Linked DNA regions of Rhinolophus ferrumequinum. The protein of the gene in region 1 interacts with the protein of each later gene in a pairwise test. Links are inferred from orthologs where the notes say so. Each region holds a gene or a part of one and is shown in the gene's direction. Other genes may lie near its edges.

Region 1 (8,025 bases):
TTCTTCCTGGCAACCAAACCCCCAGACACCATGAACTACCCTCAGCCTCCCCACCCCCCTTATTGGATCCAAGGTATCAGAGCCTCCCTCACTGTCCAAGCTACCAGACTAGTCTTTGTTTCACATTTAGTACCCAGTCTGCCTGTGAATTAGAACTAGAATTGTATTCCGACCTGTTGCTCAGGGTGGTGGCAAACACTGATAGATGGTTTCTGCCATGCCAAATTAGAATCCTCAATGGCTTCTCCCCATAAACTTTGTTATAATTGGTGGTTAGAGTCCATATTACCATGGATACTCTTCTACAGTTACATTCAGGATTAAATTGATTTTGCAGACTGATCTGGGAATTTAACCACCATTTGTACCACAGTCTCTGTGGGAAAATATACTCTGTGTTCCAAACAATTGACCTTTTGGAGTTGATCCAGTTCCTAAGTTGGGGACGGCCTGTACAATATTATGTTACATTTTGGGTTTCATTTGTGTTTCCCAGAATCAAAGACTTGTTAAAGCTGGAAGAAACTTTGATCATTTATCAATGGACTAATTTTGTAGGTAATAAAGCCAAGGTTCAGAAAGATAGAGAGATTTCTTTACAGTTATTCAATTATTCTGGTCTCCTACCTCTGAGCCAATGCTTTTCCCACTCTCCAAATTGTTTTGTGGTCTTTTCCTCACATAGTCATTAAATCACTTAAAAGTTGGGAAGATCACGTCTTCCCCAGCATGGAATCAAACATACTGAATGTTTCATAAATACTTAATTGGTTCATTATTCACTTTGGTTTCAAGGTCTAGTCACTGTAAGTTTCTTTAAATAACAAATACCATTGGGGCATTTCAATTAAGAATTTATTTACAATAGACTGGATTTGTTTTAAATCAACATTTGAATAATAATTCATAAATAGTCTATTTAACCAGTGTTTCCTACCTAAAAGGACTACAGTGTTGGATGTCATTGCAATAAATATTTTTCACAGCTCACAGACACATTTGGTTTTAGTTTTAGTTTTACATGCCATTAATTTTAATGTGGTCTTAAGGAAGAGATTACTCATTTTATAACTACATTAGAAAACTTAATAAGGCTTTGTTTGCTTGTTTACTAAAACCAATTGAAACAGAGTCTTATGAAACAATTCAGAAATAAACTTTCTCCAACTGAAAAGGTGCCTCATGCATAATTTGGATATACTGTATGAGGAGAGCAACCATCATAAGAAACAAAGTATTTAAATTGTTTTATTTGAAACACAATGTCACATTTTATATACTTTTCTTCACCAACAAACACCTTTAGTTACTTCCTGGTATCTGTTTGAAAGAGCAGGATGGGAAAGCACTGAAAGAGAAACAATCTCATGTATGTAGATGACATGGTTTTATTGTAACAAACTAGGAATGACCTAAATAGACAGCTGGCCCTGTAATCTAATTACAAGAAAAAGAAGGGCCATGGATCAACTCTGCAAAAATTTAACAGTCATCCTTTGTGGTAGCTGCCCATCAATTTTAATTGCCTTATAGTTAACAGTTTTATACAGCCAGTTAACTCCTTCCAATTATCAGGCATTTATTTTGTAGTCATTTTATCTTGAAGGATACACTAGAGAACTTAAGAGATGATGCTCCAGTGAGAGTCTGTGTGTACGTTGGGAAGTCAGAAGCGTGAGGGTGGGGGTGGGGAGGAAGCAGGCTGCTATTATTGGCTAAGGGAGAAGAGGCTTTTGGTTATATCTGGCTTTATAATTTTGGGGGCAAAAATAACTGAGGAGGGGCGGCCAGGTGGCTCAGTTGATTAGAGTGCAGGCTCCCAACAACAAGGTGGCCGGTTCAATTCACGCATGGGATTGTGGGCAGCGTCCCCTGCAACTAAGACTGAAAATGGCGACTGGACTTGGAGCTGAGCTGTGCCCTCCACAACTAGATTGAAGGACGACTCGGAGCTGATGGGAATTGGAGAAACACACTGTTCCCCAATATTCCCCAATTAAAAATAAAATAACTGAGGACATGCTTTATGACCTAGCTGATAACTTCGGCAGTTGATGATTTTCTCATATGTGTATTGAAATGAAAGCAAAACTAAATCTTAAGGAAAAATCTTCGCACTGCCCAGGTATACCACCTAGGCCTGGTTCTGTATTGAGGGATAGGCTTCTACTGAAGCATATATCCTTGTCTGGTTTCCCAATATCCTGGAATTGAGTTGACTACAAAAGCCAAAGACATTTGATATACAGAATGGCTGCCCTCCAGGTATATCTGGTAAAATTTAGAACTTACTGCCACTTAAGACTTATTAAAGACTTGATTAAGAGGTATCACATTTATGGAAGGACAACCCAATGAATATCCATCCATGCATTTATAAGCTATCTTGGATTAGTCAGGCAGCAAAGAGCTATCACTATCACAACCTCCACATTTTGCTATTAAAACCTACTCACTTTCACACTATATTGGCCACTGACCAATATTGAGAGGCATATAAAACATCCCTATGAAAGTCTGTGCTGTGTTTACAAAAAATAAATCATGAGACTATTGTTCCCTGTGTTCCAAAGTGCCTTCTTTGAGGACAATCCCTAGAAACATCTCTCTGGTCTCAGCACAGTGATGGTTGGGTTCCTCTAAGCACTGGTCTGTCTTTAGCTAATGGGCACTGGCATGTCCCAGACATTTCTTGTTATTAAGTTCAAATAAGATCATGATTTTATGAAGACCCACCATCAAGATTTCCCAAGCCCCTTGCAATCAGGACATCCAATTTCCCTGCACAGACATTTCTAAAATTACCCAAGGATATTGACATGCGGTAAATGTTTAACAACCAGCGTCCTGGTGAAAAAACTATAGATTTGTAGCATGTGCTAATTTCCTTGGTGTAACTACTCCCACCATGGTCAACATGATGTCACTGAACAAGGAGATGGAAAGAGATGCATAGTAGCATATGATTATATAGTATTCCCACAATAGAGATAAAACAGATGCAAACAACTTCCATACATAATAGTAAAATGTAGCAACATAAATAGGATGTGATGTTTTGAGTAATCATTACCTTTGTTTTTAGTACTGTATAATTTATTTGTAAGTCCATATAATTTAATTTTAAAATAATAGCTCTGTTTAACAATTGGCTTGCAAAATTCCTAAAAGTTTTAACAAGTGGTTCTCATGAGCCAAAGTAAACTGGCTCCAACACACCACTATCTAAAGCCCACTGGATTGGGAGTCCCAGATAATAGTTTGCCCTTCCACCTGTTAGATTAACAATCCCAGTGTAACAAGGAGCAATACCTTACCCTGATCCCTTTTCTAAGTCTTTTCACATGTCCAAAAAGAGTAGGAGGCAGTTTCCTATATGCATGCAATCAAAACCACTACTTGCCAGTCTGCTGCTCCACGGTCTGCTGGTCTCCAGGCTTGAGTGCTCACCATGGTGCCTGGTCCAGCCAATGTCTCTTACACCACTGGCAGCCTTCTTTTGTCTCTGCTTCTAAACTGTTGGCTTCCCTAACTGATGACCTCCACTCTGCCCTTAGGTCAGTGCTCACACTTCAGTCAAGAGCCTCCTCAGTGTATCTGCCACACGAGGCTTCTCTCCCCTTGGTACCTACTCACCTACTCTTGAACCTTACTGTGGTCCCAACTGCCACTATTGCGGCTGCTACCTGCAGCCTCCGGATGTCCACCCCTTACTTCTTCCTCTGTCCTCAATTTCTTATCCAAAGTACAGATAAACTTTGAACACTGAGTTTCACGTAAATGTGGCACCAAAACTTATTTATCAAAGTAGGATAAAATGGAAATGAAGCATGACCTCAATTTTATAAAAGATATATATATATATATATATATATATATATATATATATATATTTAAGTAGTTTTTCAGAATTTATATACCTACCTCATAGGGCTGGTGTTAAGGATTAAATGAGATAACACATGTTAACATCTAAAACAGTGCCAGAGCACATACAGGGATCTCAATAAATGGTAGCTATTATGAATGATACATGAGCAGAAGCACTGCCTTGAGCTTCGGATAGCATCTTGTCTGAGTTTCTGGACAAAGTTGTACTTGAGGAATGAGTAAAAGGCCTTTGGTCTGACCAACTCCTAGAAAAGGGCAAAAAGTCGGACTCATCTAGATCCTTTGCATGCCCACTATCCCTCCTGCCTTTCTAGAGGCAGACTACTGTGGTGGAAAGAACAGCTGGACAAACAACCTTTCTGAGCCTTCGTATTTCTTTGTCCCTCTCTTCTATGCGCCAGACAGTTGGTGGGTTTACCCTGGAGGTCACAGTCAAGTGCAGGAGATAAATGCACGATCACAAGGTGGATGATTAAGCAATCTAACGGAGGGATGGACAAAAACGCACTGTGGAAAAATAGTATCCACGCAGCGGAAGATGTAAGATATGTGAAAGCAAACTATAGAACGCAGAAAGTGGTACTCATGTAAAATATTATTGCTGATGCGGAGCCTACTGTAACTATGTCATCCAAGGACAATTGGGCAACTAGCCTTGTGGAACGGTATCGTATAAAACTTATTAACAATGCCACAGTTTTCCCGCAGAGTAACCCCTTTTTGCTTTCCAAACGCGTAAACCCGAGTTTCAAACACGGGTAACGCCGTCCGCGTTTCCCGGTTAACGGAAACAGGAAGAATCGCTTGCAAAACCAGGGAATGACGCCGAGAAAAAAAAATTGAAGCGGGAAGGGAACAACTATGCCTCCGGAGCTCCCGGTCCTGGGCAGCTGGGAAGCGGGAAGGTCAGAGCTGCCTACGCGCGCTCCGTGTAATGGGAGCTCCGGCGCCGCAAACCCCAGGAGCCTCCGGGGCGCCTGCGCTGCCTCGTCGATTCGGCGCAGTGGAAGCGGCCAGAGAGGGCGACGCACCTGCGCGAAGGCGGCGGCGGCGGTGGCGGCGGCAGCGGTGGCGGCGGCGGGAGAACCGAGTCCAGTGCGATTGCGCGAAGGCCGGGGAGGCGAGGGGTGGCCGCGAAGGCGTGCGCCGTGCGCCTGCGCGGGCTGCGTGGCGCGGTGGCCGGGCCGGGCGGTGTGGAGTGAGTGTCGCTGCGGTTGAGGCCGTCGGCGGCGCTGGTGAGCTTTGCGGAGTTGGGCGGTGCCGTGAAGGAGAAGGAGGAGGAGGAGGAGGAGGAGGAGGTGGCGGCTGGGTCTGACGCGGCCGGGTTCTTGGGGGCTCCGCTTGCTTGTTTATTTATTTATTTACTGTGTGTACCTCCGAGTGCGCGCGCTCCACTACTTGGTGGGGAGGGGGTGGGGGGAGGGCCCGGGGGAAAGGGGGAGCTGGAACCGGGGTCGAAACGCCGCGTGACTTGTAGGTGAGGGAACGCCGAGCCGTCGCCGCAGCCTCCGCCGCCGAGAAGCCCTTGTTCCCGCTGCTGGGAAGGAGCGTCTGCTGCCGACAAGATGGCGGACGGGGAGCTGAACGTGGACAGTCTCATCACCCGACTGCTGGAGGGTGAGTGGGGGCCCGGCCGGCCGCAGAAAGGGGGCGCCTCCCTAAGTCATTTCCCCTCGGTCGCCGAAACCCGAAGGTACCCCCTTTCCCGCCCTGTGGCGGCCGCCGAGGAGGGTTGCAAAAGGCTGGTTAGCCGGGGGTAGGCAGGGCGAGAGGGGCTGTCCCGGCGGGCAGCCCGGTCGGGCCCTGTGGGCAGTGTCCCCGGACCTTCGGGGACTGGCATGGCGACGCGCCGGCCTGAGGGTGCGAGGAGACCAGGGGTGCTGGATGACCCTTCCCAAGGAGGGTGCCAGGATGCGTGCTCCGTGCATTGTCTATGGAACGTGTATTTCTTCTCTGTTCTTTGTGCATTGCCCTTGGCTGCCTCCTATTCTTGTTCCGTGAGTGAATTTTATAAAAACCTTCTTGAGATGCTTGTTTGATCTGTTCTGCATTTTTATATGATGCTATAGGAGGAACTCTATTTAAGGAGAGGATAACAGCGGGAGTTGAGTGCCTCCCATTATTTTGCTTAAAAAATAGTAAAAAGACTGACGGAGTTGAAGATGCACGCAGGAAATATGGAATACGTAGACAGGTTTGCCGAAGGGATTGGCTTTCAAGTTTGAGAATTTAACAGGTTTGAACAGGATTTAATTTCGGCACAAACTTAGCAAAGGTCTGTTGTAAAGCCTCTCTTGTGTTTTGAAAGTCTTCGCAGCTTTTCAAGTTCCCAGGCCCTTCTGTTTTGAATGGTTTTATGTTGGGGTGAGGGATTGAGAAAAAGAGATGGAGATGCCAAGATATTCAAAGTTAATCGCGGTCTTCTCCCAGTGAATCCCTTCACCCTGAAATTTGCGTCATCACTAATTGCTTTGTGAGAGTGTAGGGAAAAAAATTGAGCCTTAAAAAAATTTTTAGAATCTTTTCTGCCAGAAGTCCAAGGATTACATATGCACTATCTGTTATTATTTGCTTTCAAATTACCTGAAGGTAATTGATACAGTGAAGCAATTTGTACTTAACATTTGGAAAATCATCAGAGATTGTATGATGGGGGGCGGGGCGCTAGTTCCTTCCCTTTTTTTCCCAACCAGTGTCGGTATCTCACAGTTCTGTGTACAAACTACAGTATATTTGCTCCAGATGTGGAGGCCGCCCAGCCGTCTAATACTTAATAAAAAGCAAAGTTTTACCAGGAACTCTTCTTTACCTTTTCCTTTCCTACGAAGTTATTCCTGGGAGGCCCCCTGGTGCCTGCAGTCAGTGTTCACTGCTTACGACTGTGTGTGGGCTTTTAACAGATGTGAACATATTGAGACATTTGCTTTGCCAAAAATTTTATATTGTAATTGTATGTTGTTGTAAGAGGGAAATATAGCTATTTAAAATTTTTAATATCTTGTTAACTTTGGGGAAAGTTTAGGCCCACCATCATTTTTATACATTTTAAACTAGGCTTGTAAATGTCAATGTTTTTTAAAATTTCAACTTCTCCACTTTTGTTTTCCATATACCTACGTATTTATATACTTTATATGCATAAAACATAGTAGACTTATGTGTTTTAAAATGTTTGATCTGAAACCGTGTAAGGCAAATGCACCGTTTTATGATTATAGATAACTTAAGAATCTTCACTAGTGGATTATTCAAGGTTATTGGGAAAAAATTGGCTAAGTGAGTGATTCCATTTGTTTTTGTGAATTCAAATTAAATGTTTGGTGGTTCTGGTTTTAAACAATCATTTTTCCTTTTTTTTTTTTTTTTTTTTTTTTTTTAGAATCCTAGTCTAGACATTTTCTGTTTTTAAATTAGCAAACATTTATTGACCTGCTTTGTGCCAGTCACCAGGAATCTGAAGATAAGATGCAGTCCCTTCACTTGACCTCCCAGTATAAACAAGTGATTTTCAGGCTTTTTTAGCCTCCTCTCTTTTGATATGTTCAACACACTCCCATCAGTAGAGTTTCATTACTTCTTAATCCCAGGAATTATATTTAGTTTAACAGTGCCTCCCTGAGATTCTTAAATTCTCCAGGCTCCTCCTCTCCTTTCCCCTTTCAAAATCTAAACCGGTTAAAAGGCATCCAAAACAGACTTGGAGTTTCTAATAAGTAATTATTTTTAGTCTTCAAATGAAATTTTTTATGTCTGCCTTGATGTTCAGTGATGTTACATGCTAGTTAAATTTAACTCAAATTCAAGTGATGGCATTTTGTAAAAGTTGCCTAGCAGAATAGCTACAGTGAAAAATTCGTTAGTATTAGAGGAACATACAAGTTACAATTGGGCACAGTTTCTCTACATAGGGGGAGTGGAAATTAGCAGTGCTTGATCTCACTTTAAAATGTTGATTTGAGTTCCACAATATTGTTGATTCTGTATTTTTTATTATATTAAATTGCCAGTCAGCTGTAGCACTTTCGGTAAATATATTTTATGAGTTTTGCTTTGTGTTTTTGTGTGTGTGTGTGTGTGTGTGGGCATATCATTGATGCCATGTTTACGAAGTACATAGAATATTTTAACAATTTT
Region 2 (7,386 bases), on another chromosome or scaffold:
CTCCAATCTCAACAGGAACGGCACAAATGCCCCACCTAGCTGCATAATTTATATACTAACTCATAGTGTAATCCTGCATCGTTCTGCTGCTGCTCCTAAAAATGCTCTGTTTTCTTAGTTGTGGGCTAACGCTTTTCTTCTAGAACACTTATTTTTAATTTGTGATTAAGTTTTGGTTTCATTATATGAGCTCCAAGGCTTAAATGAGGAAGAATTTATTACCACTGCAAAATGGAATGAGCTGGAAACGATGCCCTATGTGGTGTGAGATTAATGCCATCAGCACCTTTTTTTGTATAATTAATATTTTATTCCCCCCCCTTTTTATTTTTACTTTTTAATGATCTTGTATTTTACCTTTGACTTTCAACTTCCATCTATTTCTACTTCCTCCTTGTTCTTGCGTCTTTTCACTTCCAGATCTCTGTGTTGTTCCTTATGAGTATAGGCCTCTTGAACAAGTTATCTTGGAAATTGCAACTAAGTCTAACATTTGTATTCTCAAATTCAGAGATTTGAAAGTTACATATGAATTAAGTTTTCAGTTGGATTAATGTCAATTATAAGGGAACTTGCTATTTAAAAATACTAGTGCATTATTGTACTATTTTGTACTGTATGGAATCTTTTAGGAACTAGTTTATTATGTGAATCTGTGTTTTCATATTTGCATAAAATGAGATGCACATTCCTCAGTCACTGCAAAATCCTGTTTTCTTTCTGAATTCTAATGTCTGATTTTTCATTTAAGGATTTAGATAGTATCTTTCTCTAGACACCTTTGTAACTTATATAGATAGTATCTTTCTCTGAACATCTTTATAACTTTGCGTTAGACTTTCACTCACCTCCTTTAGGCTTATTAAGCTTGCCCTCTCTAAACTCACCACTGCCGTCCATCCCCTCAAACCTGGTTGTTTCTTTCCCTTTTTAATAGGCAGAGTGTGTGTCAGGACTGAGCCTCTCAGTGTGTGTTATACGTATATGTAGATCAATCTGTATGTCCTTTTTGAAATCTTTGATAAAACACAGCTTTTACATTGTTTTTAGATTGCTGTGGCCTTTTTCCTTAGATTTGCACATACTGATTTCTTTTGGTTAATAGGGATGGAATTAGTCACAAAGAGGTGCCTGTCTCTAGATCTGGATTATAATTAAGTGTATATTAGAAAGTAACATACAACTTCGGGGTTAAATCTACAAGTTTCCTATCCTAAAAATTAATACAAAGCCTTAGATTTTTATCTTAGTCTATCTGTGAAGCTTAGCACAAAGTATCCTCTGATCTATTCATTTTCAATCCCCACCCCACCCTCTGGAGAATGTATTCTTGTTTATCTTTTGGTGGTAAAGAGAAGTCCATACGGTATATACTTTGGTCTCAGATAACCATCTGTTCAAATCCCAGGTCTTGTTTTTCCTGGATGTGACCTTGAACAAAATATTCTCTTAAACTTCAACTTTCTCATCTTAAAAAGGAGATAATACTTAATTCACAGGGTTGTTGGAGAGATTGAAAAGGATAATGAGTATAAAAGATTTATTTTGTACATAATACACTTACTCAGTTGCTCAGTAGATTTTGAATACTATTGACTACATGTAAAGATTGCCTTTACATGTAAACGTAACTAAGACAGATGTATAAACACTGCCCAGGACAGGAAATCTGACCTTTGGTTTTTATCTGCAGCTACTGTTCTTGGTTGTATGTCTTTTCTTTTTAATTCTGCTTTGACGTTTTTGTCCCTAAAACAAACCACCCCTCAGTGATTGCATTTGAGTTGGTCCATAAATATGTAGCAGCATGGTCTGGAACAAAGCAGCAACATTGAGAATTGAATGTCCAATGTTATTATTTACATATTAATATTAGCATTTCTCTTTACTTTTCTTTGTAGTTTCTATTCTGCTATACTTGAGCTTCCTGGTCATTTGACCTCCATAGGCCCTGCTTAGTCTGGAGGCAGAATTGCAGTTATTATGAGCCAACTGGTACCACTGAGGTAACTTACCTAGTGATTCTATCAAGACAATGAAATATGGTGAATAAGTGACTATGGTAAGTAGTTGTGATGTTTGTTAGAGGTCCAGATGATAGTTCAACTGATCTAGAGCTTATTGCCAAATTGGATTCTGATATCTTAAAGAATGTTCTAACTTTCTTTGGCTGTCATCTAGTTTGGTATCATTAACCAACAAAGCTTGTGCACGGAGACTGATGGTAGGTACCCTGATAAATTTCCATGACTACTCAAACTGGATGTGTAGGCATATAAGACTCTTTTAGCCTACCCCCATGACTTTTAGGTTGGTTTTTGTTACTCAGCTCACTGATTCTACAGAGTGGTCTAGGGCCTTCTCTTCCTTTTTGTCTTCTGTGTGTCAAGGAAAAATAGAATCATGAACATTTACATAGCACTGTTGTAAACATTTTGTACTACATTAACTGTTTAATCTTCACAAAACCCTATGCGATACATAGTGGATACATAGTGTTGTCTCCATTATGCGATACATAGTGGATACATAGTGTTGTCTCCATTTTGCAGATAAGGAAACTAAGGCACAGGAAAGTTACATACCTTGTCAAGGGTTGCACCACAGCGAGTGGAGCAGTTGGAGTTTATATTGAAGCCTTCTGGCTCCTGGACCCATGATCTTTTTTTTCTTTTTTTAAATGGAGTCTATTTTGTTTAACTGTGCAAAGACTTTATATTGTGGCTGTTCGTTTTTTTATTTTTATTTTTATTGGGGATTATTGGAGAACAGTGTGTTTCTCCAGGGCCCATCAGCTCCAAGTCGTTGTCCTTCAATCTAGTTGTGGACGGCGCAGCTCAGCTCCAAGTCCAGTTTTCAATGTTTAGTTGCAGAGGGCGCAGCCCACCATCCCATGTGGGAATCGAACCAGCAACCCTGTTGTTCAGGGCTCGTGCTCTAAGCAACTGAGCCATCCGACCGCCCCCCGGATCCATGCTCTTGATCACATGTTACATCACACCTAGATTTCAGCAGATAGAGAGATGATCAGTATATGGTACCCTAAAGACTGCTTTTTTTGTGATCTGCTGCTTTTTCATTTTACAGTGTTGTTTCCTAGCCTCTTAGAGTTTCTGATGTCACCTAGAGGAGAGAACTGTAATTCTTGGCTTTTTTTCCAAGCTGCCCAATCTCTCAATTCTAAAACCAAGATGGCTTGGTAGCCAGTAGACCTGGCTCCATAGTTCTTGGTTGCAATGAAAAGTGCACTAGGCTTTGGAACCAGCCTAACCTGAGTTTAAATTCCTGCCATCCATCAATCCAATAATATCCAGTAAATATCTACAGAACTTATAAATGTCAAATACCAGGCTTTGTACTGGGTGCTGACGATACAGTAAACAAATTCCTTGCTCTCATGGAATTTAGTCAAGTGAGAGAAGACTGAAAAATATGTCAGGTGGTAAATGCTAAGAAGAAATATAAGGCAAGGGGATAGAGACTAAAGAGAAGCACCATTTTAGAAATCTGATTAGTGAATATCTCTGATAAGGGGACATTTGAGCAAATGGTAAGTGAGGGAGTAAGTATGATAGCTAGCTGGTGAAAGTATTCTAGGCAAAAGGCCCTGAGATGAGAGTGTGATTGTCCTGTTGAAGAAACTGCAAGGAGGCCAGTGTTACAGCAGAGTAAGGGAGGGGAGGAAACAGGATGACCTAGGATTGGGAGTGGTAAGGCGACAGGATGCACCTATATCTTGTAAGGCCTTATAGGTCAAGGAAGAAACATGCACTGTTTTCAGAGATAGGGAACCAAGGCTGGGTGTGTTTGGCGAATGACAGACATATGACTTCTGAGACTTCGTTTTTCCCATCATAAAAATGGGTTGCAAAGTTGTGAATATCAGAGATGATGTAAAATTGTCTTTGAAAGAAAACACTTAACCCGTCAATACATATTGAGATAACTCAATACATTGCTTGTATTGCCTATACCTTGGGTAGGCTGCAGCACGTCATGCTCTTTAAGATCCCATGAGTGAGGATAGGGGGATTATGTTCTTTAGGCATGGGAGTGTGGTCCTGGCGAAAGAAAAAGGGTAGCTTTAGAGGAGAATTCGTTTAGTCACTGAAGATCTGTGACTGAGGGTCTCTCCTCTTCTTCAAAAGGCTGCAGCGGCGCTAAACTCGCTTTCCCAGGGTCCCCTGCAGCAAAGACAGCCTCCTGAACCTGTTTGCTTGGCGAGTTTCGGTTTTGCGCCGATCGCCGCCTCCAACTCCCGTCATGCTGGTGGGCGTGGGGCCGGCACGTAGACTCCATTTCCCAGCCTGCCCCGGCGGTCGGTCTGGACGTGCAGGCGCCTATAAGAGCCAGAGCGCTGCGGCCGGAGCCTATTGTTAGCCGGAGCCGGGGCGGTTCTGGGCGGATGCTGCCGGGAGCGCCTGAGTTGCCGGAGCCGTCTGCCCTCCGCCGCCTGCCGGCCGACCTGCCCACCCACCCTCCCTCCGCGTCCTGCCGCCCTGGGAACTCCCCGACCGTCGCCGCGGTCCCGGGACTCGCGCTCTCCTCCCTCCTTCCCACCGGGCTAGGGCGGCGGCGGCAGCAGCGGGGGCGGCAGAGACCATCACGGGAGGAGGCAGCAGCGGCGGGGCCGGTAATGGGCCTGGGGGTGCGGGGCGGAGGGTGCCGCCTCGTCCTTTCTCGGGATCGGCCCTCGGGGGCTGTGGAGGAGTGGTCAACTCAGAGCCGCGCGGATGGAGGGGTCAGAAATGAGGGAGGCTTGGTCGGGAGCGGTCGGGGGGCGGGGAGCTAGGGCGCCGCTGGGAAGGGAAAGAGTAGGGAGAGGCGTGGGAGCGAGCGGCTCGGGGGACGCGGGCCCGGACTGCGGGGGCAGCTCGGGGGAGACTGATGGGCGCCTTGGAAGCCGGCAGGATTGCGGATGAGGGTTGAGTTCGGAATAGAGTGGAGATGCTGTAGGATGGAGGGAAGTGAAGGAAGGGGAGGAGGAATAGAGGAAAATGTGGGAGGAGTGGTTGGGAATTTGTGAGTAGCAGGCAGGAAGGGATGGGAAGGCTGGGTGGGGGCTGCAGACGATTGGACTGAGCGGGAAGGTTTGCAGGAATCAGAAATGGGCCGGGAGCTGAAGGATTCAACGGGGGTGTCCATTAAGGGGAACTGGTGGCTTGACATGTCCTTTCTGCTCAGGTTCCTGATGTCCCCCATTTTTCTGGTGTTGTGTCTGAAAACGAAAGCATCACTTGCCCTGGTTGCTAGCTTGATCTTTCTCACAGGCCCAAACACGCAGCTGACTGCCATCCATCCCTTTTAGTGCCCTGGTCTTGATTCATCTTTTTAAAGGGGTTTAGAGTGGCATTGTGACACACACATCGTTCTTCCAAATGAAATGTTAGAAGTTATCCCCAGGAGACACAGTGTCCCCTTGTCCTACGGTTTTCAGTTCAAGGTAAATCCAGAGTTGATTCCGATTTTCCTTTTCTTTACCGACTTAACATCTTGCTGATCTCCAAAGCCAGGAGGACGTTGGTGGGTGCCAGCGTTATAAATGACTGGATATCCTTGAGAGTTAATGGTCCCTGCAGCATCATGTTCCAGTTCTCCCACAAAGATCTCGTGTCCTCCATATGCCGGTAGTGTAGACAGGGAAAGCCAAATTCTAACCTTGTGCCAGTGAAGGGCTAAAAACCAGGGAACGAAGGTTGGAGGGGGACTTCCTGGTAATACCTAGTTTAAACAGGATGTTTTTGCTTGAGTGCTTTAAAGGTTCATGATCCTGGTAATCACAGGGACACATAGATCCACAAAATTCATAATTGAGAATCTACCACAATATAGTGTAAAAGGAGAAACAAGAAAGGTCACGCTTAGCAGCAAGCCTTCCTTCCTCTAACCCAGCTACAGATGGTATCCCTGAGACACTTACTAGAGATTTTGGTCCTTTGACCTTTAGGAGAAGATTGGGTTCCCGTTAAGTGGAGTCGCTTTCTCCTGTGAGATGTACGTTGTCTTATTATTTCGGACTCATTTAAGAGAGAGGGCTTTTATTACCTAAACTTTGCAAATATATTCTGCATCCACAAAATTTTGTGTGTGGGTGGGGTCCCTCTTTTGCTAGTCTCATGTTGGTTTGGAGAGATTGTTAATGGAATCCTCACAGGTCTGAAAAGGCTTAGATCTAGTACTAAAATACACATATGCTGTAGGTCTATTTTATTTGATGCTAGCCTACTCTCTTTACAAACTGTGGATCTGAATTATTTCACATACCTTTGGGAAATGGTCAGTAGAGACACTTGAGAAAAGACCATAGGCCTGTATCCAGAAAGTGGCAGCTGAACTTTCATTTTACTGGCATTTAAAAGCTTTCATAGAGGTTTGCATTATTTTCTTCACAAGCATTTGTTGTTTGAGATGCTCCCTTTGACAGTTAACTGTCAGTTATGACCTGCATTGCCAGTCTCACCTGATTATTTCTGCATGGGTTTAAGTACTGGGAGTACAAGTGTTTCTCTTAAACACACACATTGATCCTTTGCCAATGAATGAAGAGTTGAGAGAGGTAGGAATGACTGGTTTCTAACTGTGGTTTGAAAGGAGGTTGATGTGATACATTGGAAAGTGTGGAACCTATTCTAGTTGTGGCTGTTGCAAAAGAAGATCTCGTCAGGCCACTGTGGAAGGGCTGGAAGGGCTGTTCTTGGTGCCCAGTGAACATCTTTATGTAACAAGTCAGGTTCACACCAGAGCTGGGTTGAAATTTGAACTTACATTGGTTGTCTGGACAAAATCGATGGATTTTTTTTTTAACGGGTTCATGTCATAGAAAGTGATGCCAACAAATCCTGGGCAGAGTGAAAAGAGCTAAGTCAGTGTGGACATTATTTACACATACAGCCATAGATTATTCTCAGGTGTTTTAAGGAAAATAGTTTTCTCCTAAGTTTCACATCTTTTTTTCTTTTTCTTCCTTACCTACTTCCTATCATTGCCCAGAAAACACTATTCCAGAAGTGAAAGGAGGGAAGACATAGGTCAAAGGGCGAAGGAGAATGGAGCAATCCTGGCTGCACCAGCGTGCACAAAAATTAACCTAAGAGAAGTGATAATCCTGAGGGCAACTGGGTGAAGACAGTGGAGAAGTTTGATAATAAAGATGGTTTTGGACCAGACCCAATCCCATGTAGGGCTTAAAGAGAAATATTCAAGGGAACCCACACTACCGGAAGCAGAGGGAGACCCAGGAAAGAACCAGAAGTGCACATTCGCTTCCAGTCATAAATCTCTGAGGGCTTCTAGGCTGAGGAAAAGGCAACTTTCCTAGTAGCAACACCAGCTGGATTTCAATTAAAACTGAAGCTGGACTTAAGCCCTTTCTGAGAAAGCAGATTT
Region 3 (6,916 bases), on another chromosome or scaffold:
AAGAAGAAACCCACCGATCCTGGACCCCGGCCGCACACTAGGTGTTGAGAATGTCTGCTCACAAAACGTGTCATAAAGAAAATGAGATAAGTCACAATGTGGGAGAAGATATTCACCACGTGAATAACCAACAGATAACTAATATCCAGGAGATTAAAAGGTCAATAATTTAAAATTTAAAAAATTTTAAAAGACACACAGCCCAATAGAAAAATGGACAAGAGACAGGAACAAGAATTTCTCAGAAAAGGAAACCCTCGCGGCCAACAAGCAAGCCTATGACAACAGGCTTCTCTGTTACCATAATCGTCACAATTTTATACCTCCTAAATCAGCAAAAATCAAGAATTCTAATGACACCAAACATCGATAAAGATGCGGCTCAAGGGGAATTCTAACAAATGAACCTCTTTAGGAAACAACTTAAGTCAAACATTTGCCTACTCTGACAGAAATTCCACTCTTACATTTATATTCTATAGAAATTCTTACACATGGGTAGCAAGTCAAACACAAGAATGTTCAGGACAGCATGGTTCACAATGTGAACAGAAAAAAAGAAAAAATAATAAACCTAAGCATTCAGCAGCAAGAAAATAGATTGTAAATTCTGTTATGAATTATAGAGTGAAAAAAAATTCTATGCACACTACAAGGATAAATGTTGGCCCTATAAAAAGTGAAAAAAACCAAGTTACAACAAACTATCAACAGTAAGGCTCCCTTTTTATAACCTCCCCCAATCTAAACAAATCCTTTAGGGTTACACCCACAAGTGATAAACTTCAGGCAGGAGGTTTCTTCTGTGGGTCCAGCAGCAACCTGGAATAGCACAGGGTCCCCTGGTTCCGAATTTGGGTGGTGAGTTTAAATGAGTTCACTTTACTGTCATGACTCATGACTAATATTGCATTTCTCCTTCTGTATGAATCAGCTAGTATACACTAAAATATTAAGATGTTTTATACAACCAACCTATAGACAAAGCACAGAAGACTTGACTAGTTTTGGACTACATTGTAAATGTTACAAAAGTTCACTTTGTAATATAACAAATGGGAGAGAAGGGAAGGTAATGTGAAGGGAGGATAAGGACAAGAAATGTCATCTTTCATGAAAACAAGTCAATAGTGCCGACAATTGATCAATCAAGAAGTGGATATGGGGGTGGCCGATGGCTCAGTTGGTTAGAGCAGCGAGCTCTCAACAGGGTTGTGGGGTCAATTCCCGCATGGGATGGTGGGCTGCGCCCCCTGCAACTAAGACTGAAAACAGCGACTGGACTTGGAGCTGAGCTGCGCCCTCCACAACTACATTGAAGGACGACGACTTGGAGCTGATGGGCCCTGGAAAAACACACTGTTCCCCAGTATTCCTCAATAAAAAATTTTAAAATTAATTAATTAATTTAAAAAAAGTGAATACAGGAAGGACAGGTCCTTTTCTCTCTGTGCCGTGGGGGGGGGGGTCCCTCCCCGCCAACTCAGCGTTGCACAGCAACTCCACACCACAGGGACGAGGGCCTCCCACGCCATGGCCAGAGGCTGGCTGCTGACAGCACAGCCTGGCTTCACATCACCTTAGGTCATTTCTAAGAGGTTTGCAGGGAGCTTCTGGAAAGTACTCCTTCCTCTCATGGGTGAACTTCTGGATGCAACCAACCACCTTCCTGCCACCAGACCACAAGCCAGGTAACAAGCAGCTCCAACTCTCCCACCACTGCTGTACAACCACGAGTAGAACCAGCCTCAGGGTGAAGCCAACATGGCGGGCAGAAGAGCAGAAAATGGCAAGAATGCCACGTGGGGCACTGGATACACCCACCCTAAAACCAGCCTTCCTCGGGATTTCAGGTTTGGGGGCCAACAGCTTCATTCACCATTAGAGCCGTTCTGAGACTGCACCTCTGTTTCTGGCATCAGGCATCCAAACAATATCCGGGATGAAGGATATTGTTTTGGATTTGTTGTAACGGAGGGTGTCAGCAAAGGCTTCCTCCAGGGAACACTGGCAGAGCTGAGCCTGGCACTGTGAAGAAGCCTTCCAGGCAGAACCACCACAGGGCAAAGGTGCCCACAGCGCCCTTGGGGAGGAGTCCACACACAGGAAAGTAGGTGGAGATGGGCCTGGAGCAGCCCAGCACGACTCCCAGGGCCTCCTGGGCCTCCTCCAGGAGTCCGGACTGCGTCCCTAACATTGACTTTAAAGAGCTCCATGCTCGGGAACATGACCAGATGCCCAGTTTACAAAGGTCACTCCAGGGGCAATGCTGGGGGGAGAAGGGGGGAGAAAAGTTACAGTAATCCAGGCAAGGTATTAGCAGGTCTTAAAATAAGCGATGTCAGAAAGACGGCCAGAGGAACCGCCAAGTCAAAACTCGACCTATGGCTGCCGTCGACTTACTGGGTGACGAGAGGTGCAAGGTACGGGGATGAGGGGATGAGGAGCATCAAGCCCACACCCCAAGGTTTCTGCTCAGGCCACTGCCATTCTCTGGAAAAGAAAAGGCGAAGGTGACGGACAAAGCCCAGGTATTTGGAGGCCTCCAAGCGGAGATGTCGAGAAGCCGGGCTGCACCCCACAGCTCACGCATTCAGATATTTACTGAAAAGTCCTGCATAACAGGCACCGTCCCCAGCATAGAGGAGGGCAGTCTCCATTCTGGAGTTCACCTTCCAGGAGAAGCAACAATAGTGACTACAAAGCGCACACAGTTAACTGCAGCTGAGGACTGAGCGCCGGGTGGGGTGGGGCCGGGGCGCAGACGCTGAGGACCAGAGAGGCTCCGCCCAGGGCCCCAGGGCGCGAAGCGGCACAAACCGCCGTTGGGCGCCGGGCCGCTACCCCGGCGGGAGTCGCACGGAGAAGCGGGCAGCGGCGGGGGCACCGGGCTCGGATTGGTTCGTCCGAGGGCCTCGCCGGGGTCGGGCAGCAGGACCCTGCGGAGCCCGGGTCGACTCCCAGGAGCGCAGGCATCTCACCTGGGGACGAGTCAGCCGGCCGGTTGCTTCACCCAGCCGCGAGGAAGCCGATCTTCGCCTCCAGCCCCGCCGGCCAATCGCGGAGCAACTCACGCCAATTGACAGGCCCCATAGGCCAACCACTGGCGCCTGTGGGCAGGACTCAACGAGCCGGGGTGGAGAAGCCCGCGCTAACGGTTGCTAAGGACGCACCGGACTCCTTCTACGGCGCCTCCGAGGAGCCAAAAGAGACGGCGGCCCGCCAGCCGGGTACGGCAGACACCGTTTCCTCTGGTCTTGGGATCGAGAAGGGTGAGCAGCGCGAAGCTCGCCTCTCAGCAGCCTCGCCCTGGAGGCTGGGGCAGCAGGGGCGGCTCCCTCACGGGCCAAGCACACCCGCGGGGCCGAGGGCCGACGGAGGTTGCGGCGCCCGCTGTGGGTGGGTCGGCGTCCCGGGCCCCGACCGGCTCTCCCGGCACCTGCGGGCGGAGTTCCTCCCCGGCCCCGGCCCTGGCGCCGAGCCCGTCCCGCGCTGAGCGTTAACTGGAGGCGGCCCCTTCACTCGGACTAAGTCCGCGCGGCGACGCCGAGACAAAGTCGGCCCATTGTACAGACGCCTCTGCGGAGGCCCGCACTTTGCAGCCCCACGCAGAGACTCGCTACGAGCCCAGAGCATCTCCCAGATTCTTCTCTCCGCTTGCCTGCAGCCACTGCTCCGTGCGTGCAGCCCCAACTGCCCCAGTCCTCCTTCCCGCTCCTCGCCTCCAGACGCCTCCGGGGCGCTCTCAAATTACCTGCCCGGGGGAGGTGAGACGGCCGGCGCGGAGACTGAGGGCGCGCGACCTCGCGGATGGACTACAACTAACCGTGAGGCTCTGCGGCCGCGCAGGCGCGTCGGGGCTTCAGTCCCCTCCGCTGGGATTCCATTGGCTGGGTGAGTTCTGAGTTGGGAGCCCTGATTGGCTGAAGGGCCTGAGGCGACAGATTCCGGAAAGGGGAAGAGCAGCCAACATGGCGGCTGAGCGCGGTGCCGGTCAGCAACAGTCGCAGGAGATGATGGAGGGTGAGCGGCCCCACAGGGCGGTGGCCGAAAGGCCCAGCAGGCTGGGGGTGGCGGCCCGCACCGACCTTGCCCGAGAGAAACGGGGCTGCCCGCCTCCGACCACAGCCCGGGCCCTGCCGTGCGGCCCCTGACAGCTGCCAGCCGGTTCGGAGGGGCGGGGGCGGGGGCGGCCCTGGGGGCCCCGAGCCAAGGCGGCAGCGGCCGGGAAGGCGCGGGCGGACCGGGAGGCGCCCGACCCAGGATCGAGGGGAGAGCGGCGGCATGAGCGGGGTGGGCGGGTGGGTGGCTGGGGACTGACGGCGCCGTAGTCCCGCAGCGCGGGCGTTCACCCTCTGTTTGGAGCCTCGCACTGAACCTCTGAGCCTGACCCTCGGGGTCCCCGTGCAACTAACGAGGAAACAGGCGCAGGGCGCCGTGGGAACTGCCCGCGCTGGCTCATTAGTGAAGGCTCATTTCGAGAAGGGTCCTCTCGAAAGCGAATGGGTTGTGGAGAAGGGGGTGACAGGGAGCCGAGAGACTGTTACAGAACAGCAGGTGCCTGTTTGCAAAGTTATCACAGTTAGGAGAGGACTAAATTCAACTCTTTCACTTTGTTGAAAAAAATTATATGCATATATGTGCATACGACTGTACACACACACACTCAATTGGAGAGTCAGTTCTATCACAATACTGATGTGCTCTTGGCTGCGCTGGTTTCATGGGGGACACAGAGCTCCAGGAGAGCAGCCAGCCACTCGAGTGTAAATGCCGGTAAGAAGGAAGCAGAAAGGGTTGGAGGTGGGGTGCCATAAAGGAAGAGCTGGCGTACTTAGCAGTGAAGGCGGCACAACCAAAGCTCCAAGTTGGACCTTAAATGTTCGGCCAGGCTGGGGGTGGGGGAAAGATCAAAGGTCATTTCAGGGGAAGAAAACCACACAGTCACAGGCAAAGGGCTGTGAGAGATCCAGACCTGTTTGGAGGAGAGCTTGACCAAGGATGACAGTCATTTTGGATGAGGGTGGAGAGTGCCAGTGAAGCTGGCAAGAGAAGGTGGGGGGTGGGGGGGAAGCATTTGAAAAGTCCTGGACTTTGAAACCCTTGGATCTTTTTAAGCAAGGAAGTGCCTCTTCCTGTCCCCTTTTTCTCTTCCTCACCCACCAACCACTTCCATGCCTTAGTAAATGACAAACGAAAACCCCAGGCATTTCTCTCTCTGGACCCACTCATCCATTGGTCAGGAAGCTCTGACGCCTCCACTTCCTTAAAATCTCCAAATTTTCAAACGTCTTTCGTTCCCACTGCCAATATTTGAGCCAGCCCATTGACCCCAGGGCCTCACATGGTGGTCCTCTGTCACTTGCCCCATACTCTGCAACCCTCAGGATAGAATCCCAGGTTTCATGTTGGCTGCTCTTCCTTAGCTAAGCCCCTTCCGCCCTGGGCCGAGCCACATCCATAACCCAGTAGAACTTGCTCTTAGCCTTGACCACAGAGTGCATGGAATGGCAGTGCAGGCAGGTTTCCGCTGCTACCAGTATCTCAAAGTAGAACGTTCCTATAAAACCTTTCAAACCCGAAACGGCATAAATCAAAGAAGCAGTTACCTTAGGACATAACTTACTGCAGATGCACAAAATTGAGATAAAACATAGATGCTCACAGATACAGTTCAAAGCTATGTCAGCTCGATGCTGAGACGCTGGGTGTAGGTGCCCTGGGTCTAGGCTTAGTGGTGCCACTCACTGGGGTGTGTGCTGCCTCTTTTAGGGCTCTCTGCAAAACAAAACAATGCTATTTTCACTTTTCACGTTTTTTTGTAAAAACTAAATTCCTCTTCAGATTTCTTTCATTAGTGATAACAGGTACGAATATAAGTCTTTCTTAAAAATGAAGTGGTGTAAAGTGAACTTTTGAAAAGCAGGGGTACCTGTAACTAATTAATTGTGTACTGCTTTTATTTATTAAAAGCTAACTGCTTTTGTGCCTTATCTAATTTAATCCTGACAGCAGCCCTGAGATATAGTTACTATACCAGCTCCCTTCTGCAGATTTGGAGACTGAGGCTTGGAAAAGGAAGTAACTGCCAAAGCTGTGTCTCTAGGGGCAAGATGCAAAGTCAGGAAGAGCCATTGGTATTCCAGAAATTTTGTGGAGTCACAGATCAGATTTGGGTTTTAGAATCAGATCAGACTCTGGCAATGGAGAATAGATTAGTCAGGGCCAGACAAGCCACAGAGAGACCAGTTAGGAGGCCCAGCAGGAGCCCAGGCCACAGGTGAGGAGTAGCTGAGCCGAGGCAGTTGCTGGGGGCAGGGAAGAAGGAATGGATTTGGAGGTTTTGGAGGTGGGTTCCATAGGGACGTGTTTCATCCAGCAGTCCTTTCCTGGGTGCTTCCTCACTTGGCCCAGCGGGAGATACAAATTGGAACTAGACCGTCTCCCTCTCAAAGAGCACGCTCCTGTGAGATAAGCTGTAGTCAGGAAACTTGGAAGCTGTTAGTGCCTGAGGGCTTCCAGACAGACTTCCAAAAGAGGTCATGAAAAAGTTAGGAGAAAGGAAACTTATCTGACAGTTTTGCCAATGAATTTTTATCAGTCTGCCCCATGTAATCATTGCCGTGTTTATTCGAAAAACATTATTTACCAGCCTTTCAGAGCTTTGAGCTGCCATCACTATGCCCTGGTGTTAGTTAGCATTGTGACCTTCTCGTGGGGCATTTAGCACTATTGGCTGTCTTCTCCTGTCTCGTTAGAGCCCCCCCACCCACAGTCTGATTTGAGTTAGTCTTAATTTCTTTCAGAACGTGGGCCTGTGAACTGGGCTGGTTTTCTTGGCCAAATGGATAGTGGAGCATGGATGAAGGTATGTGGCAGGAGGGTCACAATGGTCCCCTCTTCGCAATGTGCAGGC
Region 4 (7,603 bases), on another chromosome or scaffold:
AAAAAAGCCCTTCAGTTGTGGTTTAAAGGTTTCTTCAGAGGTCCTTTCTCACACTTTTAGGTCCCATATACATTTCTTCACCCTAATCCTTCAATGAATATGGAGAAACTGCAGCAACTTGGAGAAATAATTATCGACACGTGAGAATGATTTCTCCCCTGCAGTTAGATTATTTCATTCTTTGCTCACTTGTTTTGTAGCACTCAGTTCTCTAATGTTGTTCAATACCATCCAGGGGACTTTAAAAACAAATTGTAACACTTAAGATTCTCTCTCCTTTGGCCCTTCCCCCAGGCAAAGTTTGCCTCCCCTCTAGGCAAACTTCTCTCCTAGCAGTTACCTTACATGTCCTGATCCTCTGTGGCCACCTGGCCCGGGAGGCCTCTCCTTTCACATATAGGAAATCTGGAAGCACATATAGCAAATGTGTATAACATTCACACAGCCCATTTACCACTGAGCCAACCTGGCACGGTTACTTGTTTTTTTATCTCTACGTCCTTCTTCCCAACAGATTACTAGAGAGGCCAAGTGTATCATCCTTTGTTTGTTCCCCTCTCTTCTCTTTCTGCCTCAACTCAGCTGAGACCCCTTATATGTCTCAGGCGGTGCTTGCACTTTCTTTAACCACTTACTGTTGGTGACAACAATCGTGCTTCACACCTGGATCCAAATTGCTCTCTTACAAGGATGTTTAAAAGTGGTGTAATGTGGTAAAAACTAAAAAAATTTCAGGCAGTGTAAATTACACTTGAAAATTCCTTCAGAGCAAACTGAATGGCTGATAGCATAGTCTATTCAGCAACACTTTTAATTTCTTCTGTTGCCCTCTGGGATTATGTCACTTAAAAAGAATGGTGAGCTGCTGGCACCATTTCAATTGTGATCTCATTTACTCATTGGTTGAGCCCCATAGCTGGTTTCTTGTCATCTGAATGCTCTAAAGATGAAACTCTGCCATATTCAAATGCTTCCTATTTTCCTAGCCTTCCCAAGTCTCACTTCCTCCTTGAAGCTTCCACAGGTATTCCACAGGGAGCCCTACCTGTCTGAATTTCTCTGGGCTTCTACAGAGCTTCCTTTTGGTCTTGGTAGGTACCAGTGTGGTGCTTGTTTTTTCCAGAGCAAGTCATATGTGGAGCATAGACTCTAACAGGGTTTGAAACCTGGTCCTGTCATCTGCTAGCTGTGTAATCTTGTACAAGTTCCTTAAACTCCCAAAGCCTCCTCAGTTTCCTCATCTGTAAAATGGGGATAATCATTATGGTTTCTACTTCATAGGATTCTTATAAATATTATGAGTTAATATTTGTAAAGTGCTTAAAAACAGTGCCTGACCCAAAGTAATCACTGTGTGTGTGTATGTTTTCAAATTATACTCCTTCACCTAATATTTGTGTTCCCATCCAATGTGGCTAAAGAAGGAAAAAGAAATTAGTGTTAAGAGCTTACTATTCACTGAGACATGTGAACTGGCTCCTCTCTGCTCTCAAAAATAGAAATGCCAGTCCTTTTAATCAAAATGAGCAGTTTTCAAAAATAAACAAATAAAAATAATTAAACACACACACACACACAAATGAGCAATTTTCAACCTCACTGACTATACTGTGGGTAATGAAGTTCAGTTATGAGGTTCATTCTACTAAATGTGGTTAAAGTACTGACATTTTAATATTAATAGCTAGAAGGTTGAATTCTCAAACACTTTCAAATTGAGCATTGAGAAAAAGGGCAAGGTTGCAGAAAAGGAGTTGGCAACCTGGGAACCTCCCGCAGGGTGTTTTTTTCCTACAAGGGCACATCTCTGGAAATATAATGGATGAATGTTGTAAGAGAGCCACTTGTGTAAGCCACACAATCATGACCCCCTTGCTTTGTAGCTCCTTAAAATGTTCCCTGGGTATTTCATGAATTTAAACTTGTATTTTTGTAATAAAGATTGTAACATCCTTATGGTCAAAGGCCTGTGACTTATGAGTCCTTGTAACCCCTGGCATGGCTGGAAACACTGTATAGATCAATATGCCCTCACTAGTAGATTTATTATCGAGATAAGTAGGACAACGCAATGTTTGGATACTGCCAAAACACAGCTGGAGAAAATCTACAAATAATAATAAAACTCCCCACAATTCCTAATCTACGTTCTTCATTGGTGCAGCTCCTAAGAACACTGATTCCATCCCAATGCCTCTCAGCCCATAATGAAGGGCAGTAAAAGCCAGGAAGGAGACAAGTGAGGGGCCGGATTATGCTAAGTGAAATAAGTCAGATGGAGAAAGACAAATTCTGTATGACACCTTTTATATGCAGAATCTAAAAAAGCTGAACTCATAGACACAGGAAGTAAAATAGCGGTTATCGGGGCTGTGGGTTGGGGGCTGGAGGAAATGGGGAAATGGTCAAATAGTACAAACTTCCAGGGATCTAATGTACATCATGGTTAATAATCCTGTATTATATACTTGAAAGTTGCTAAGAAAATACATCTTAAATGTTCGCACCACAAAAAGGAAATGGTAATAATGTGATATGATGGAGGTGTTAGATAATGCTCTGGTGGTAATCATTTTATAACACATAAGTGTATCAGATCAACACATTGTACACCTTAAACTTACACAATGTTATATTAGATCTCAATGAAGGTGGAAAAAAAAGAGAGAGGGACTGGAACATCCAGTTTAGAGGTTTATTGAGTGTTGACTCTTCTTAAGAGAGAGCCCTGTTTTGCTGATCTTCTATTTTTAGGAACTTCAGAGTGGCTTTTATGGCACCAGTCAGCACCAGGGGGCAGGAGAGAAAGCAGCATGAATGTTGAGGAGCAAACTCCAACGGACTGTACGAGTGAATGACATGAGTGTGTGGCGCCAACACAGTTTTTGTCACCTAGTAGGTAGGCTATACATGTTAGCTGAATCTAAAAGTTTTAAAGTCCTTTAAAAATCATTTCTTAATCATTTTCTCAATCAGAAGTCCATGTTCATTGTAGAAGAATTAAAAAATACAGAGAAGCAAAATGACAAAGAAATTTTTAATTACTCATAACCTCATCATCCAAAAATAAGCACTGTTAACATTTTGGTAGAGCATATTCTATTATCTATGTATACACACCTTTCCCCCAAAATGGGATCACAACACATTCTTATTATTTTATGTTTCTCCATAACTTTAATTGGTAATATCCACTTTTTAAGCTCAACATACGATCATGAGTGGTGAAAAAATCTCGACCCAGTGTTCTAGTTTGGGCTCTGACCTAACCAGTCTCTGGCAAGCAGTGCAGCCTCTCTGAGTTTTAGATTCCTCATTTGTGAAATAAGGACTTTGAAGCCAATGATAACCTAGAGTACCTTCCACCTCTATCATTCTAATTGTTGATGGGAAAGTATCTAGCAAGTGTCAAACCCAGATTATGTCCTTTCAGCTAGTTTTGGCTGGGCTGAGGGGCTAGTGAATCTGCTATAGTTGGACTTTTCATTTCAAAATTCAGGCCCAAGCACGAACTATCTTCCCCAGTGATATTCAACATGAGTTTCTTTTTCTTCATTCTAATTACTTCACTTTAACAATTTCACTGTTTGACAGTTACTTAAAAGACACAAGGATTTTTGTACATTTTAATTGATGCCTGGATATCCAAGTTAATAGAACAGAAGTAGGAGGTGGGTTTTAAAAAAATAATCCATACTCTACTTAGAAATTCAATTTTATGGTTGTGATTGATGGTCTAAAAACTCCCCAAACTAAACAAAATAACGAAACCTCAGTGAAAGTAACTGGCTCAGAGAGTCAGGAAACTTACAGTGTGGTATTTTAACATTTTGGTTTCCACATCACTGCCAAATGATGTCAGAAGTGAGCTGAGGGATTTGGGTTGACCACTGGCTCTGTGGCTGACCGGCCACGTGAGTGAAAAAGGACATTTCACTTCTGGCTTTAGTTTTCTCTTCCAGGGAGAAAAACTGAAAAATAGATCGAAATAAAAAGTTCCTTATAATTAAATGCTACCTCACTGTTTTATGGGGCTCGCATGCTCATGCTTTATTAACAACGTTTGTCAGAGATAGATGGTTGATTCTCGGCAGCCTTCCTCTACTGCCTGGTGCATTTGTAAATTCACCTTCACCAAAACACATGCAGCCAGCTTTTTACTACTCAGGCGAAGCTGAGCGGGCGCACTAAGCAATGAACAATATAAACATTTCACATACTATATACATTTGGAACTATCCACAGCTCTCTGTGCTCAGATCTAACTGTGTACAGACTCCTTCCTCAAGACTCCAAAGGCATCTCCTTCCCGGGAGCCGGCTGAGCTGGCGCCTCGCCTGGGTGAGGTTTGCAGCTTTCTCCCCTCGCCAGCACCCGCTACGTGCGGTGCTGCCGTCGCGTCTCCTCGCCCGGGGCTAGCTCAGTCAAGGGGGTGGGGGAGTCCCCAAGCACCCCGCCCCCCGCCTCCAGCCCTGCAACTCCAGCACCACGGCGGTCACGTACTCCCCGCGAGGGCTCGCGCCCCAGCTGGGCGCTGGTTGGTCCGAGGAGTTGGGTCACGTGGTCAGGAGCAGATAAGGGGGGCCCTCTCCGGCGCCGCACCCACAATCCGCCGGAGCTGCCGCCCAGCGGGGACAGCTGGGAACCGGGTGCGAGTTTGCGCAGGCAGCGAGTGCCACCTCCTTTGGTCCGCTGCCCTCTCTGCCTAATGAGCTGCACCAGGTAGGTTCACTCGGGACGAGAGGGGTGCGCGCCGCTGCGGGGAGATTGGGCTGCGTTTCCCTTCGGTCCTCTCTGCAAATGGAGACTCCACGCGAGGCCAAGTGGACTGACTGTTGTGTTGAATCTGGCATCCGGGAAGCCTCGGAGGTGTAGAGATTTGCTCTGTGTTTCTTAGGCGGAGCTGATTTTGGTAATCCGCCTCTTAAACCAGAAGCTGGTTTAAGGAGTCAGATGTAGTAGTGATTCTATTATGGACTGTTTGTTATCTCTTGGTCCTGCACAGATGTCCCAAGGCTTCTTAACTTGTGGGAACAACACTTTGACATTGCTGGTTGTGTAGTGTAGCATGGGAGAAAAACTTCAGGTCTATGATTCGTCCCCATCCGCTCTTACCACGGTTGGCCATAGTAAACGCAGTCTCAGACTTTGAGCAAATGATGATTTTTGAACTCTTGGTCAGGACTTAAAATTCCAGGGAAATCGCTAAATTCTAAAACTGTCTTTCAATAAGTGCAAAAAATAAATTACAAAGCAAACCCACAAAACAAACCTCACACAAAACTACTTTAAATCGCTTCCTTAGACATAACTTGGCAGAAAATTTCTCCAAAAATCCTGCCTGTTAACTATTATTAGACCCACAAATATAGCTGCAGCTTTCATTTGTTTGTTCGAAGTTTATATGTCTTCCAGAAAAATCCAAGGACTGATAAATTCTGTGAATGTCCTTTTATTATTCGTTTTGTGATAATGACCATTTGCCTGCATGTTTAGAGCTGCTGTGAAGAGTTACTAAGAAATGTCATAGACAATATACACACACCTCTTATCGGTAAGGCTAGGATAGGGGGAAAAAAGTCCATAAGCTTGGCAATATGTACTGAGGGCTAAGAGCCAGGAAAAAAACAAAACAAAAAATCTTGATCTTGATGGACGCTTCTTAATTTAATATTGCTGAGCATAGTTATGTTTAAATTTTTAAAGAGCTTTATTATCTTGCTAGGTATAAATATCCATTGCCAAAACATTAGAAAATGCCAAAAAAAAAAAAAAAGTACCAAGACAATAGATCACCTCCAATCCTATCACCCAGAAATAATTAACTTTTTGGTGTATTTTCTATTGTTTTTATACATTTACAAGTTCATACATATATAATATATATTAAAAACAGTCCAATTTTCAGGTAATCAGCTTTTTCTTCTTAAGTATGCACTCGTCATGGATGTCTTTCTATATGAAACATAGATTCTATGTCAGGTTTTTCTTTAAGTGCATTCATTGCTAGCTTACATTTCAATTGGTCCTTTGTGGGAAATGAGGAAGAGAATGATAACCAAAGTGCAGATATAATAACCCCCCTGACTTCACGCTTTCCAGCTTTCTCACTCTCAAAACTGTTTCATGAGAATTTTTATTGCTTTTTTTTTTCTTTTCAAGTGGGTTACCTTTTCAGAGAAGGGTGATCAATTCAGCAGCAAAATCAGCAAAGCAGCCAGAGAGAGCACTGAGTCTGGAACTTTGGTTCCAGAACCTGTCTGGTCATTAGCATCACCAGAGAAGCTTTAAGAGCATATGTATCTCTTCATCTTCACCCCAGAGGTTCTGCCTTAGTGGCTCTTAGTGCTAGGAATCTGCATTAAAGAGAAAGAAAGCAAGAAAGAAAACCAGCTCCCTAAGCCATTATGACCAGACAGGTTTGAGAAGCCCTGGTTGAGAACAGAGCCAGTGGTTTTTATAGCTGTATTAAAGATTATATGTTCCAACCTTTTTATTTCTCAGATGCTGAAACTGAGACACCCTCCCCCCCAAGTGTTTTAAGCTGTTAATCTATGACCTTGTGGCCAGTCAAGGGTAGAGCTGTCTAATATTTTCTTTTGCTACATATGGTAGCACCTTCCTGATACATGCGGGCTATAATTTAGCCAACACAAAAATAGTATATATTTGGGACCAGGGGAAGAACATTCCAGATCCAGGTGATAACCCTTCTTCTTCTTGTATTCCAGGATGATCCAGGTCTTAGATCCACGGCCTTTGACAAGTTCGGTCATGCCAGTGGATGTGGCCATGAGGCTGTGCTTGGCTCATTCGCCACCTCTGAAGAGTTTCCTGGGCCCTTATGATGACTTTCAACGACGAAATTTTGTCAACAAATTAAAGCCTCTGAAACCGTGTCTCAATATAAAACAGGAAGCCAAATCACAGAATGACTGGAAGCATTCGCACAACCAAGCCAAGAAACGGGTTGTGTTTGCTGACTCCAAGGGCCTCTCTCTCACCGCCATCCATGTCTTCTCTGACCTCCCAGAAGAACCAGCGTGGGATCTGCAGTTTGATCTCTTGGACCTTAATGATCTGTCTTCGGGCTTAAAACTCCACGAGGAGAAAAACTTGATTTTAGATTTCCCTCAGCCTTCGACTGATTACTTAAGTTTTCGGAACCACTTTCAGAAGAACTCTGTGTGTCTGGAGAACTGCTCTCTGCAAGAGCGAACAGTGACTGGGACAGTGAAAGTGAAAAACGTGAGCTTTGAGAAGAAGGTTCAGATCCGTATTACCTTTGATACTTGGAAAAGCTACACCAATGTGGACTGTGCCTACATGAAAAATGTGTATGGAGGCTCAGATAGTGACACCTTCTCGTTTGCCATTGACTTACCCTCTGTCATTCCAACTGAGGAGCAGATCGAATTCTGCATTTCTTACCATGCTAATGGGCAGGTCTTCTGGGACAATAATGAGGGTCAGAATTATAGAATTGTCCATGTGCAGTGGAAACCTGATGGCGTGCAGACACAGATGGCATCGCAGGACAGTGCATTCCACCGGGTGCCACCCAAGACTGAGTCAGAGCCAACAATCTTTGGCAGTCCTAGGC

Evidence for each region.
Region 2: the proteins of PPP1CB (region 1) and CSRNP2 interact in binary tests that used the Homo sapiens proteins (3 or more experiments, as listed by UniProt). The two-hybrid records come from large-scale screens. The link is inferred for Rhinolophus ferrumequinum from reciprocal best matches to the Homo sapiens genes PPP1CB and CSRNP2.
Region 3: the proteins of PPP1CB (region 1) and PPP1R7 interact in binary tests that used the Homo sapiens proteins (3 or more experiments, as listed by UniProt). The link is inferred for Rhinolophus ferrumequinum from reciprocal best matches to the Homo sapiens genes PPP1CB and PPP1R7.
Region 4: the proteins of PPP1CB (region 1) and PPP1R3C interact in binary tests that used the Homo sapiens proteins (3 or more experiments, as listed by UniProt). The two-hybrid records come from large-scale screens. The link is inferred for Rhinolophus ferrumequinum from reciprocal best matches to the Homo sapiens genes PPP1CB and PPP1R3C.

What each region holds. Positions count from the first base shown.
Region 1 is NC_046296.1:52,233,371-52,241,395, reverse strand, and holds the start of PPP1CB (serine/threonine-protein phosphatase PP1-beta catalytic subunit), read left to right. Parts: upstream 1-4,991; 5' UTR 4,992-5,126; intron 5,127-5,182; exon of another isoform or gene 5,183-5,368; 5' UTR 5,369-5,456; coding exon 5,457-5,508; intron 5,509-8,025. UniProt on the Homo sapiens protein: Protein phosphatase that associates with over 200 regulatory proteins to form highly specific holoenzymes which dephosphorylate hundreds of biological targets.
Region 2 is NC_046293.1:51,585,886-51,593,271, reverse strand, and holds the start of CSRNP2 (cysteine/serine-rich nuclear protein 2), read left to right. Parts: upstream 1-4,377; 5' UTR 4,378-4,741; intron 4,742-4,860; exon of another isoform or gene 4,861-7,386. UniProt on the Homo sapiens protein: Binds to the consensus sequence 5'-AGAGTG-3' and has transcriptional activator activity. May play a role in apoptosis.
Region 3 is NC_046291.1:514,773-521,688, reverse strand, and holds the start of PPP1R7 (protein phosphatase 1 regulatory subunit 7), read left to right. Parts: upstream 1-3,907; 5' UTR 3,908-3,971; coding exon 3,972-4,023; intron 4,024-6,806; exon of another isoform or gene 6,807-6,858; coding exon of another isoform or gene 6,859-6,868; intron 6,869-6,916. UniProt on the Homo sapiens protein: Regulatory subunit of protein phosphatase 1.
Region 4 is NC_046299.1:30,362,839-30,370,441, forward strand, and holds the start of PPP1R3C (protein phosphatase 1 regulatory subunit 3C), read left to right. Parts: upstream 1-4,594; 5' UTR 4,595-4,708; coding exon 4,709-4,722; intron 4,723-6,731; coding exon 6,732-7,603.